Sus scrofa: one gene and its partner. The protein of the gene in region 1 binds, or shares a complex with, the protein of each later gene. Links are inferred from orthologs where the notes say so. Each region holds a gene or a part of one and is shown in the gene's direction. Other genes may lie near its edges.

Region 1 (5,097 bases):
GTGGGGGAGTCCCACCTACTCTACAGTCCCCACCTGCCCCCCCCATCCACTTGCTTCCCTTTCAGTTCAACTGTTTGTCGGTCTGTCACCTCCAGGGACACTTGTCGGCGCGACCCCAAGTGTGAATTCTACTTCAGCCTGGACGCTGATGCCGTCATCACCAACCCGCAGGTCCTGCGCATCCTCATTGAAGAGAACAGGTCGCTCGGCTAGAAGGCCCCCAGATAGTCCCCAGGGAACCCCCAACTCCTGCCCTGGGCAGGGGGCTCCCCTCCACCTAGCCCTCACCGCTGCCCATCCACAGGAAGGTGATAGCACCCATGCTGTCCCGCCACGGGAAACTGTGGTCCAACTTCTGGGGAGCCCTGAGCCCTGACGAGTACTACGCGCGCTCAGAGGACTACGTGGAGCTGGTGCAGCGCAAGCGAGTGTGAGTCCGGCCTGGGCTGCGGCCCGCCCCTCCTCTGACCTGGGCCCGCACAGACCTCCACATCCTGGCCCAAAGCCCTAGTCTTGGGGATCCCACCTGGCCACCAGGAAGACGTGCTGGGGCTGTGGGGAAGAGACTGACCATGCTGCGGGACCTGAGGGGGTTGCGGTCAGCAGGGCTTGATGGGGGACATGCGGGGGACCTCACAGCTCGCAGCTCCCAAGGGAAGGGGCTCCCGGGATTGTGCGCGGGGTTGTGGGAGGCCACCCACCTGGCTGACCCTGGTGTGGGGGCCTCCAGGGGCGTGTGGAACGTGCCCTACATATCGCAGGCCTACGTGATCCGGGGGGAGACCCTGAGGACAGAGCTGCCCCAGAGGGAGGTGTTCTCGGGCAGCGACACTGACCCGGACATGGCCTTCTGCAAGAGCGTGCGGGACAAGGTGAGCGGGACCTGGGGCTCAATGCGGGGGTGCTGGGAGGCAGCCCCCTCAATCTCTGTCACCCTTCTCACACCCTCCCCCCTCACCCAGGGCATCTTCCTCCACCTCAGCAATCGGCACGAATTTGGCCGCCTCCTGGCCACTTCCCGGTACGACACAGACCACCTGCACCCCGACCTCTGGCAGATCTTCGACAACCCCCTGGTGAGTAGGCAGCCCTGGCACAGAAGGCAGGTGCCCTTCGCCAAAGGCTGACGCCCCATCCCCAGCCCACACATGTGTGCGCTGTGTGGGGCCTCCTGCCTGGAGAGGGGCTCCCTGGGGGCGCCGAGGGAGTAAAGAGGGCACAGGTGGTCAAGGTGCGCCCCCTCTCGCTCCCCCAGGACTGGAAAGAGCAGTATATTCACGAGAACTACAGCCGGGCCCTTGAAGGAGAGGGACTCGTGGAACAGGTGAGCCCCACTCAGACCCTGACCCTGCTGGCCATTGCCCCTTGAGTCCACCGCCTGGGTTAGTGCTTCTCCGATGCCTTCCCAGCTGCCTTAGGTCTTCAGCTCGGGTAAGATGAGGGCAAAGGCTGAGCAAATAAGCCTGCAGCCCCCACCCTGGTTTTAATCAGAGCAGTCCTCTCTTGTCTATGGGTATATTCATGTATGGGTGAAATGACATTTTTTTACAGCAAGTTTGAAAACGATGCTTCCGGCAGGGAGCCCTGGGACTCCCGTGCCATTTGTGCAGTGTTTCCAGCACTGGGCCCACCTTCTCTGGCCACCCTCTCCTGGTCCAGCCCCATTCCTCCACATTCTCTCATGGCCTGGTTTCCCTTTCTGCTCCCTGCTTCTTCTCCCTTCCACTGGCTGCCTATCCGCTCCCCGAGCGTCACCCTGCCCTGTTCTTCCCCCGCCCCGTCTGTCCTCAGCCCTGCCCAGATGTGTACTGGTTCCCTCTGCTGTCGGAGCAAATGTGTGATGAGCTGGTGGAAGAAATGGAGCATTACGGCCAGTGGTCAGGAGGCCGGCATGAGGTGGGGTGCTGGGGCAGGGGAGCAGGAGGGCCCCTGGGAGGAAGAAGAGGCTGGGGCTGGTGAAAGGAAAATGAAATTTAGAGAGTGGGAGCAGAAAGGGGTCCCCAAGTGGAAGGGGCACAACTGTATTCATTCATTCATTCAAGAAATGCTAGGTGGGTCCTAGATGCCAGCCACTGACTTTGGCAGTGCAGTGCGTTGATGAATTGTACGGGTCGAGCCCTGCTCTCCTAGGTCTCACCTGCTGTCAGTAGCAGCAGTGACCCAGCTTCTAAAGGCTGTGCTGGGCAGCCCAGGTGCTGTGGGAGTCACAGGAGGGGCCCATGCCCCAGACATGGGGGGACCAAGGGGCTTCACAGAAGAGGTGGCATCTTACCTGAGACTCAGAGGCCCAGCAGGAGTGAGTCAAGCTAAGGAGTCAAGACTTCCAGATGGAGGGAACATAAGCTTTAAGGCCTGGGAGCAGATGAGGAAGCTGGCACTGCCCTGTCAGCTTAGTGCCCACTGCCCGCAGGATTCAAGGCTGGCTGGAGGCTACGAGAATGTGCCCACCGTAGACATCCACATGAAGCAGGTGGGCTATGAGGACCAGTGGCTGCAGCTGCTGAGGACATATGTGGGGCCCATGACCGAGAGCCTGTTCCCAGGCTACCACACCAAGGTGACCGCTGAACCTGCTACCCTGACTCCACCTTCCTAGAACCCGGCTGGCCGTCTCCATGCAGCACCCTTTTGGGTTCCTGAGGCATTTGGGACCCCATGGAGTGAAATCCTGCAGGAAGGCAGCCCCCCTGGGGGGGGGTAGCATGAGAGCCCCTGCCACCTCTCCCCCTCCCCAGACCTCAGGACCCCCACCTCCAGCCTCTCCTCCCATGTCCCCACAGACCCGGGCGGTCATGAACTTCGTGGTCCGCTACCGGCCGGATGAGCAGCCCTCTCTGCGGCCCCATCACGACTCATCCACCTTCACCCTCAACGTTGCCCTCAACCACAAGGGCCTGGATTATGAGGTGGGTCCCTGCCACGCTCCACTTCAGGGTGCCACCAGGGTGCCTGGCTGCCGCCCAGTCCCCGCACCTGTTCACACTCCACCCCGTCCCCTTCTCATCCTCCAGGGAGGCGGCTGCCGTTTCTTGCGCTACGACTGTGTGATCTCGTCCCCACGGAAGGGCTGGGGGCTCCTGCACCCTGGCCGTCTCACCCACTACCATGAGGGGCTGCCCACCACACGGGGCACTCGCTATATCATGGTGTCCTTTGTCGACCCCTGACACTCAACCACTCTGCCCAACCTTCCCTGCCATTGTGCCTTCTCGCGCTCCCTCCTTGGAGGGGGTGTGCCCTGCCTCTCGGGCGCATGTTCCGTGTGTCTGGGACTGAATGTGTTGCCCCGCCCCCACCACACGGCCCTCGGCCCTCGGGAAGCTCAGGAAGCCCCCTTGCCCTGCTCCTCAGCCCCCAAGCATTCCCAGGGAGAGGGCTTCTAGGGGTTCGCCATGTAATAAGTTATTGTTTCTCAGTCTCCCTCAATAAAGGAGGATTTGTAACTCTCGCGTCCATTGATTCTTTGATCTACCTCTGGACCCCATGTCCCTCCCGCCACCCAGAGTGAAGGGGAGACCGGGGTCACTCCAAAGGAAAAGAACAGAAAAGACGAAAAGGCAGAAGCATGATGCCAAAGCAGAGTGGGAGCCTGGAAGCTTCCTGCGACCCCATATCTAACTCCCTGTCATCGCCTGAGCATGAGGGCCAGACCAAAAGGGCCTCCCTTGTCTGGCTCAGGTGAAAACCCACCTCCTCAGCTCTCTTCTTCTATTCTCTCCTCTCCTGATGGCATCTTCTCCCTCGTGTGAAGGCTGGGGGTGGCACAGACCTGAGCTGGGCTGCAGGGACAGTGCTAGGGAAGGAAGGCCCTCCTGGGGGCAGGTGTTCTATAAGGGAAGACAGGCTGGAACCTGACGGTAGCTGCTTTGGATCAGAAGGGAATCGGGAAGATTAACCCAAGAAAGCTTCCTGGAAGAGAGGGATGGGAAGCAGCCTTGAAAAAGAGGAGACCTCCTGGAGCTGGCCTTGCTTCCAACCCCAAGGGGACCATCAGCCCCTGCCGAGACCCCTGGAAGTGCCTTGACAGTAGACCAGGCCCCTTAACCTGGTCTTTCCCAGCCTCACACCAGCCACCTTCCTGAATTTATCTCCCCATGTTCCCTTACAGAAGCCTTTAAAAAACAAACAGGTCTGCTCACCTGTCCTAGGACATTTCCTGGCTCTGGTACCCCACTGCACCCCCAGCTAGATTCCCCTTCTTCCTTCCTCCTGCCCAGACTCCCAGGAAAATGTCCTCCAAGAAGCCTTCCTTCCAGTGGGTGGTGCTGGCTGCCAGGGAGGGTGGAGTGGGTCTTTTCCACATGGACTGAGCATCTCTCTGCCCAGACTCCAAAGTCTATCTCACCCTGGCCCCCTGCCACCCTCATCACATGTCCTGTGGGTGGAAATGGACTGAGCAGGGACAGGAGAAAATACCTCTTGGCAAAAGTTTCCTGGACAGGGAAGCTGCATGCAAGACAGGGGACAGGGACAGAAAGGGAGTGCCAGCCTTGAGCGGTAAGTCCTGGGCACTGGAAGCTGGCCTATCCTGTCTCCCACAGACCCACTGTTCATTCATGGAGCATCACCCAAGTGCTGGGGACCCATCACAAGGGCTGCAGTGCTGACCACAATATTCTCTACCTGTTGCTTACAGCGTGGGGAGACCTTAATCAGAAAGCCGCTGCAGAGTTCCCATGATGGCTCAGTGGAAACAAATCTCATGAGCACCCATGAGTGCGCAGGTTCGATCCCTGGCCTCGCTCAGCAGGTCAAGAATCCAGTGTTGCTCTGAGCTGTGATGTAGGCCAGTGGCTACAGCTCCAATTCAACCCCTGGCCTGGGAACCTCCATTTGCCACAGGTGTGGCCCTGAAATGCCAAAATAAATGAAAGAAAAAAAGAAGGAAAGTCACTTTGATGGAGGGAAAGTATTTTGTGCCAGGAGAGAATGTGACAGAGGCTCCTGACTAGTGTGTATCTGATTTCCCTAAAGAAACGTTGTTCCTTAGATATGCAATGGCTCAGCCATGACAGAGAATGAAATAATGCCATTTGCAGCAACGTGGATGGACCTAGAGATGAATGTACTAAGTGAAGTAAGCCGGAGACAAAATGC
Region 2 (6,303 bases), on another chromosome or scaffold:
GCAGGGGCTGGGCGGGGAACATAACACGAGCACAGCTTGTCCCAAGGGGCAGCCACCTCCTGCCTCCCAGTTGGGGCTTGCCGTATGGGAGTGCCATTCCCATGTTATTGGAGAAGGCTGCAGTTGTGGATTTTGCCGTTGTTTATGGCAGGTGATTCAGATGTTCTAAAAACCCTGCATGGGAAACAGAAAACATACTTGTGAACCAGATGCCTTATTATTATTATTTTTTTTTCCTTAGAGCTGCACCCACAGTATATGGAGGTTCCCAGGCTAGGAGTTGAATCAGAGCTGCAGCTGCCAGCCTACACCACAGCCACAGCCACGCAGGATCCAAGCCGTGTCTGCAACCTACATCACAGCTCATGGCATCGCCAGATCCTTAACCCACTGAGTGAGGCCAGGGATTGAACCCACAATCTCATGGTTCCTAGTTGGATTCGTTTCTGCTGCGCCATGACGGGAACTCCCCCAGATGCTTTAAAAAAAAAAAAATCTCCACCTTCCAATAGTTCTGTAATATTTTGTGCCCTGGAGTTCCCTGGTGGCTCAGCAGGTTAAGGATCTAGCATTTTCATTGCTGTGGCTCGGGTCACTGCTATGGTATGGGTTCGATCCCTAGCCAGGGAATTTCTGCATGCTGTAGGCACAGCCAACCTCACTGTTTTCCCATCCTGGTCTGGTGGACAGGAACATCCTTACCTAATCATTTTCTGTAGCTTGGTCCCCCTCCCTCCCTCTCTCTCCCTCCCTTCTCTCCTTCCTTCTTTCCTTCCTCCGCACCTGCAGCATATGGAAATTCCCAGGCTAGGGGTCGGATTGGAGCTGCAGCTGCCAGCCTATACCACAGCCACAGCCACACCAGATCTGAACCACATCTGTGACCTATGCTGCAGCTTGCAGCAACACCACATCCTTAACCCACTGAACAAAGCCAGGGATCAAACCCGCATCCTCATGGACATTATGTCAGTGGGAACTCCTGTGGTGGCTTGATTTTTGATTGTCATGCCTCTTTCTACAGTGGGACAGGGAGACAGGACCAAAATTTCTGTAGCTGATTCTCCACTGCTAGACTCCAGGGCTGTTCTCAGTTTGTATGATGAACAACCCTGCCATGAATATCATGATGTGGGCCTTCTGGAAGGTGTAGGTGACATAAGATTTAGGGGGGACCAACAGGCACCCTTCACTATGGTGACCCTGTTCATGGGTTGGTGAATTTTGTTCCAGGCTGCAGCAAACAAGTTATCATCTTTTTACCCTAACATTCCAGAGGTTAAGGGTGGGGTGGGGGAAAAGCCTTATATAAAGAACGTATTTTTAGAACTTTTTATTGGCATTTAAGTAACAGAAAAAAATGTGTGGCCACTCTCGCAGGGGTGGCCTCTGCCCCACCATCCTCCTCATCAACCAGCACTGCCCATCTTAAAAGTTCTACCCACTGTCACTTTTGGTGTCTCGTCAGCACTGTGTCTGTGGGACATTTGTATTGCTTTATGCTGTGTGGTCTGTCCCTTGCTGTTTAGTATATTTCATTGTGTGAATTGACTTGGCTGGTAGCTAAAGGCAGAGCTGTCCGTTGAGAAGCCAGGTGGCTTCCAGGATCACATGTGTTATTCCAGGTTCCCCAGACCCCCAGGACTCTAGCCTCTGCCCCAGCTGTTCCAAGACGTGGCCTAGCCAGGTCATTTGGGCAGCCGATGCTGATGCCATGTTGGGTGTTTTGCAGTTTGTAGATGCAGACAACCTGATCCTCAACCCTGACACGCTGAGCCTGCTCATTGCTGAGAACAAGACGGTGGTGGCCCCCATGCTGGATTCCCGGGCCGCGTACTCCAACTTCTGGTGTGGGATGACTTCCCAGGTCAGGGGGCTGCTAGGGTAGAGCAGGGGCCTGGGGGTGATGGGGGCTGGGCTGAGCAAGTGGAGGCTGGGTTTGAAATCTAACTTATCATTACACTGCCTCATGGTGAACATTTAATAAACACCATAGTGGTAATCCTTAAAGAGCCCCTTGAGGGAAGGTCTGTGGTTATGTCTTGTTCCCTCCTAATCCCCACTACCCCTATCACTGAGGCAGAAACTCAAACACAGAGAGAGAAAGTGACTTGCCTCGGCTCACATGGCTGTGAAGTGGTGGTACCAGGATGGGACTTCAGGCATGGCTTGATCCAGGTGTTCAAACAGTATTCCTCTTCCTCCGTCCCTTGGGTGGTTTCATTTTCAGACTCCTGGGGAGTGATCCCAGGATCATTTAGCCAAAGTCCACTCTGATCCTTGTCCAGTCTCCTCCTACTCTGGAAATTACTGAAACCTGGAAGATGCCAGGCTCTGATTGTCCCACCCCAGGGTTGAAGATGGGGTTGTAGGCAAAGCCAAGGGGAGTGAGGGCCAGGTGCTGGAGCAGGGCCCTGCCAAGGAAGGGAATCAGGTGGCTAGAGCCAGGATGCTGATCCATCTTGTCCCCTCCTATCTTTTTGTTTTGAATTGATGTGTAATGTGCAAAATCCTTGCTGATCAGAAATGGTGAGCTGGGTTCTGCAAGTGAGTGACCCTTTCCCTGTGTTTCTCTGCCATTGCCCAGCACCTGAGGCTCTGGGGTTGTAGATTGACTGGCTCTGCCCAGAGCCCTGTGCTCAGGAAATGCCCACTGCAGCCAGAAGCTGGCACCCGGTCTTACTCTCCAAGTGTTCCATGCCTCCCATTGCCTCAGGCCCCAGCCTTACCCTTGGGGACCCCCAGACAGAACTCTGCCCCTTCCCCACAGGGCTACTACAAGCGCACGCCTGCCTACATCCCCATCCGCAAGCGGGACCGCCAGGGCTGCTTTGCAGTCCCCATGGTGCACTCGACCTTCCTGATCGACCTGCGGAAGGCGGCATCCAGGAACTTGGCGTTCTACCCTCCCCACCCTGACTACACCTGGTCCTTCGATGACATCATTGTTTTTGCCTTCTCCTGCAAGCAGGCAGGTGAGCTCACGGGGGGTTCGCCATCACGAGTTGTCTCTCTGGTTCTCTGCGACCAGTGCTGAGTCCATGAACTGTTCACAGAACCAGAACTGCAGGGTGTGGGGATGACCTCAGGTGTAGCTGTATCCAGGTGTTCAGATGATGGCCCCAGGGTTCATTCTCTCTCTGGCCCTGGCTTTGCCGGATGGCTTCACTTTCTAGGTCTCTGGGACCTACTTACTGAAGGTTATTTCTGTCTCAGTATTTTTCCCATTATCTGTAGCTGAGCGTAATAATTCCCTAATTGTATAATTAGAGGGGGAAAAAGTTTAAAGAGAAACACAACCATGACACATAAAGACAGCATAAACACAGCCATATGCAGATCTATCACTTATTTTAAACCATGGGTCAGCAAACTATGGCCCATGGGCCAAATCTCACCCACCATCTCTTTTCCTATGGCCTCAAGCTAAGACTGTCTTTTGGGTTCCTAGACCCAATACTAAATTCCTATGTGTATGCGTAGAGGTAGGGGTTCCTCACGCCAGCCAGCAATGCTGGGAGCCATTTAAACTCATTCTGACCCTGCCTGGAGGTAGCATCAGATTCCACAGGTTAAAGGCTCAGTCCCCACAAACTGTCCTCCCACTCAGCTTCAGCTGCTGGTCACAAACCCAGCTTGTCATCTGTGCTTCCGACCAAATGGCTATAAATCAGAGGTTCCCTCGACCCTTTTCTTGGGTTCTGCTCATTTGCAAGAGCAGCTCTTAGAACTTGGGAAACCCATTTACTTGTGGGATTACTGTTTTTTATAAAAAGATATAAAACTCAGGAACAGCCCAAGGGGAGAGATGCACAGGGTAAGGTGTGCGGGAAGGGGGCTTCCATGCTCTCTCTGGGTGCACCGTCCCCCTCTCACCACCTCCACATGGTCACCGACCCAGAAGTTCTCCAAACCTCGTCCTTTGGGGTTTTTATGGAAGCTTCCTGACATCAGTACAGTTGATTAAATCATTTCCCTTTAGTGACTGATTCTGCCTCCAGCCCTCTCCCCACCTGGGGGTGGGACTGAAATTTCCAATCTCTAATCTCATAGTCAGGTCCCCTGGCAACCAACCCCCAGGTTTAGGTGTGTTCCAAAAGTCACCTTGCTAACATGACATGAGAAGCACCTTTTAGCTCTTACCATGTAGGAAATTCCAAGGATTTGGGGAGCTGTGAGCCAGGAACTGCAGACAAAGACCAAATATATATATGAAAAATCACAGCATCACAGAATGGTATTTTATGTTTTTAAATGGCTGGAGAAGACAAAAAGAAGCATGGTATTTTGTGACATCTGAAAAATGATAACGAAATTCACATCTCCGTGCCCATGAATGCAGTTTCATCGGCACTCAGCCACACCCATTAGGTATTGCTTCTGGCGGCTTTCATGTTCCACAAGCAGAACTGAGTCACTGAGACCAGAACTGGCCCACAAGCCTAAAGATTTACCATCTGGCCCTTTAGTGAAAATCACTTTCAGTGGGTTTTTTTCACTTAAAAAAAGAGATAACATCCTCATTATAAAATTTTAAACTTTGGAGTTCCCATCGTGGCTCAGTGGTTAACGAATCCGACTAGGAACCACGAGGTTTTGGGTTCGATCCCTGGGCTTGCTCAGTGGGTTAAGGATCTGGCGTGGCCGTGAGCTGTGGTGTAGGTTGCAGACCCGGCTCGGGTCTGGCATTGCTGTGGCTCTGGTGTAGGCCGGCGGCTACAGCTCTGATTAGACCCCTAGCCTGGGACCCTCCGTATGCCATGGGAGCGGCCCCAGAAAAGGCAAAAAGACACAAACAAACAAAATTTTAAACTGTTCAGAAAAGGACACAGGTAACATTACTAATGGTTGGTCCAGTTGCGTCTCCTTTGTGTGCAAAAATGCCTTTACTGTACACCAGCTGTTTTGCACTTTGCTTTGTCTTAGACTCCTATAGGGGTTAAGCCAGCACTGGTGCAAAGTGCTTATTAACACTCAGAGTTTTGGGTCTACGTGCTTGGCACCGTGAACCCCTGTTCTGGCTCCAGGTCCCAGACGGAGCGCCGAGCAGTCTCTGCCGGTTGCTGGGAGGAGGTGAACCCGTTTACGCGCCAGCCCGGTGCTGGGCTCTGGGACTAATGCTGCTGTTCAGAGGCTAACACCTCTGCTGCCTTATTGCTCCATTTTCACTTCTGCTCCTTGTTTCTTTTTGGCCACAGAAGTCCAGATGTATGTCTGCAACAAGGAGGTATACGGCTTCCTGCCGGTGCCACTGCGGTCACACAGCAGCCTCCAGGACGAGGCTGAGAGCTTCATGCACGTGCAGCTGGAGGTCATGGGTGAGTCTGGCCATGCCACCCTGGGAGGGCTGAGTCGCCTCCCTCTCCCCGCCATCTCGCATCTATCTGTAACACTGACTGAGTGCCTGCCGCGTGCCACTCTCTTCACTGGGCACTGGGAACCTGAGGTGAACAGGTGGACAGTTGTCCCTGCTCTCACAGAGCACCAGCTTGCAAACAGCTGTGCACATCATACTTGAGGAAATCAGAGTGGGCTTTCTGGTAAAGGTGGCATTAAGATGCAGGGTGGGAGTTCCTATCGTGGCTTAGCAGGTGGGGCATCTGTGGTTGTCTCTGTGAGGCTGCAGGTTCGATCCCTGGCCTCACTCAGTGGGTTAAGGATCCAGCGTTGCTGCAAGTTGCAGTGTAGGTCACAGATGTGGCTCGGATCTGATGTGGATGTGGCGTAGGCTGGCAGCTGTAACTCATATTCAACCCTAGCCTGGGAAAGTCCATATGCTGCAGGTGAGGCCGTAAAAAGAAAAGGAAAAAAAAACTTGCAGGCTGAGAAGGAGTTAGCAGGAAAGAGGATTGCAGTTGGAGGGCGAAGCATGTGCAAAGGTCGGGAGGCCGGAGGAGCTGTGAGCTCAGGAAACAGGCGGGGCTGGTAAGTTGGGCAGGGTGGCAGGCAGGGCCAGGGCAGAGGCCTCAGGCATTGGGCGGAGGGGCAGGCCTTTTCCCCAGGGAGCCATCAGGAGTTGTGGAGGGTGTGGGAGCAGGGAGGACAGCAGGTTTTGCCAATGACCCTTCCTGTGTGTGGCAGCATCAGGACATAGGCCTTTCTGGCCATTTCGTCATCCTTGCCCCTGCCAAGCCCCAGGCCCACTATTGTTTGTTTAATATTTATCTTAAGCAGACACTTTTTTTTTTTAACCTGAAGATGTTCGTGTTCAAAAAGAAATTATAAATTTTTACTGTGGTTGCAAGCTCATGTCTTTCTAATACATACACAGATTAATGCATAAACTGTTACACTAGCAGTTTA

The links.
Region 2: the proteins of PLOD3 (region 1) and COLGALT1 are in contact, whole or in part, in a cryo-EM structure (PDB 8ZGE), measured with the Homo sapiens proteins. The link is inferred for Sus scrofa from reciprocal best matches to the Homo sapiens genes PLOD3 and COLGALT1. Residues at the interface, in NP_001075.1 of Homo sapiens: Leu226, Val229, Val230, Leu231, Lys232, Phe233, Asp234, Arg235, Arg241, Gln261, Tyr264, Leu265, Pro275, Gly430, Ala431, Leu432, Arg440, Glu442, Glu446, Arg452; in NP_078932.2 of Homo sapiens: Ala36, Tyr37, Phe38, Pro39, Glu40, Glu41, Arg42, Trp43.

The regions. Positions count from the first base shown.
Region 1 is NC_010445.4:8,910,133-8,915,229, reverse strand, and holds the end of PLOD3 (procollagen-lysine,2-oxoglutarate 5-dioxygenase 3), read left to right. Parts: intron 1-95; coding exon 96-200; intron 201-304; coding exon 305-430; intron 431-730; coding exon 731-1,076; intron 1,077-1,255; coding exon 1,256-1,324; intron 1,325-1,791; coding exon 1,792-1,896; intron 1,897-2,410; coding exon 2,411-2,557; intron 2,558-2,780; coding exon 2,781-2,906; intron 2,907-3,011; coding exon 3,012-3,167; 3' UTR 3,168-3,443; downstream 3,444-5,097. UniProt on the Homo sapiens protein: Multifunctional enzyme that catalyzes a series of essential post-translational modifications on Lys residues in procollagen. Plays a redundant role in catalyzing the formation of hydroxylysine residues in -Xaa-Lys-Gly- sequences in collagens.
Region 2 is NC_010444.4:60,148,078-60,154,380, reverse strand, and holds part of COLGALT1 (procollagen galactosyltransferase 1), read left to right. Parts: intron 1-1,732; coding exon 1,733-1,867; intron 1,868-2,770; coding exon 2,771-2,975; intron 2,976-5,198; coding exon 5,199-5,318; intron 5,319-6,303. UniProt on the Homo sapiens protein: Beta-galactosyltransferase that transfers beta-galactose to hydroxylysine residues of type I collagen. By acting on collagen glycosylation, facilitates the formation of collagen triple helix. Also involved in the biosynthesis of collagen type IV.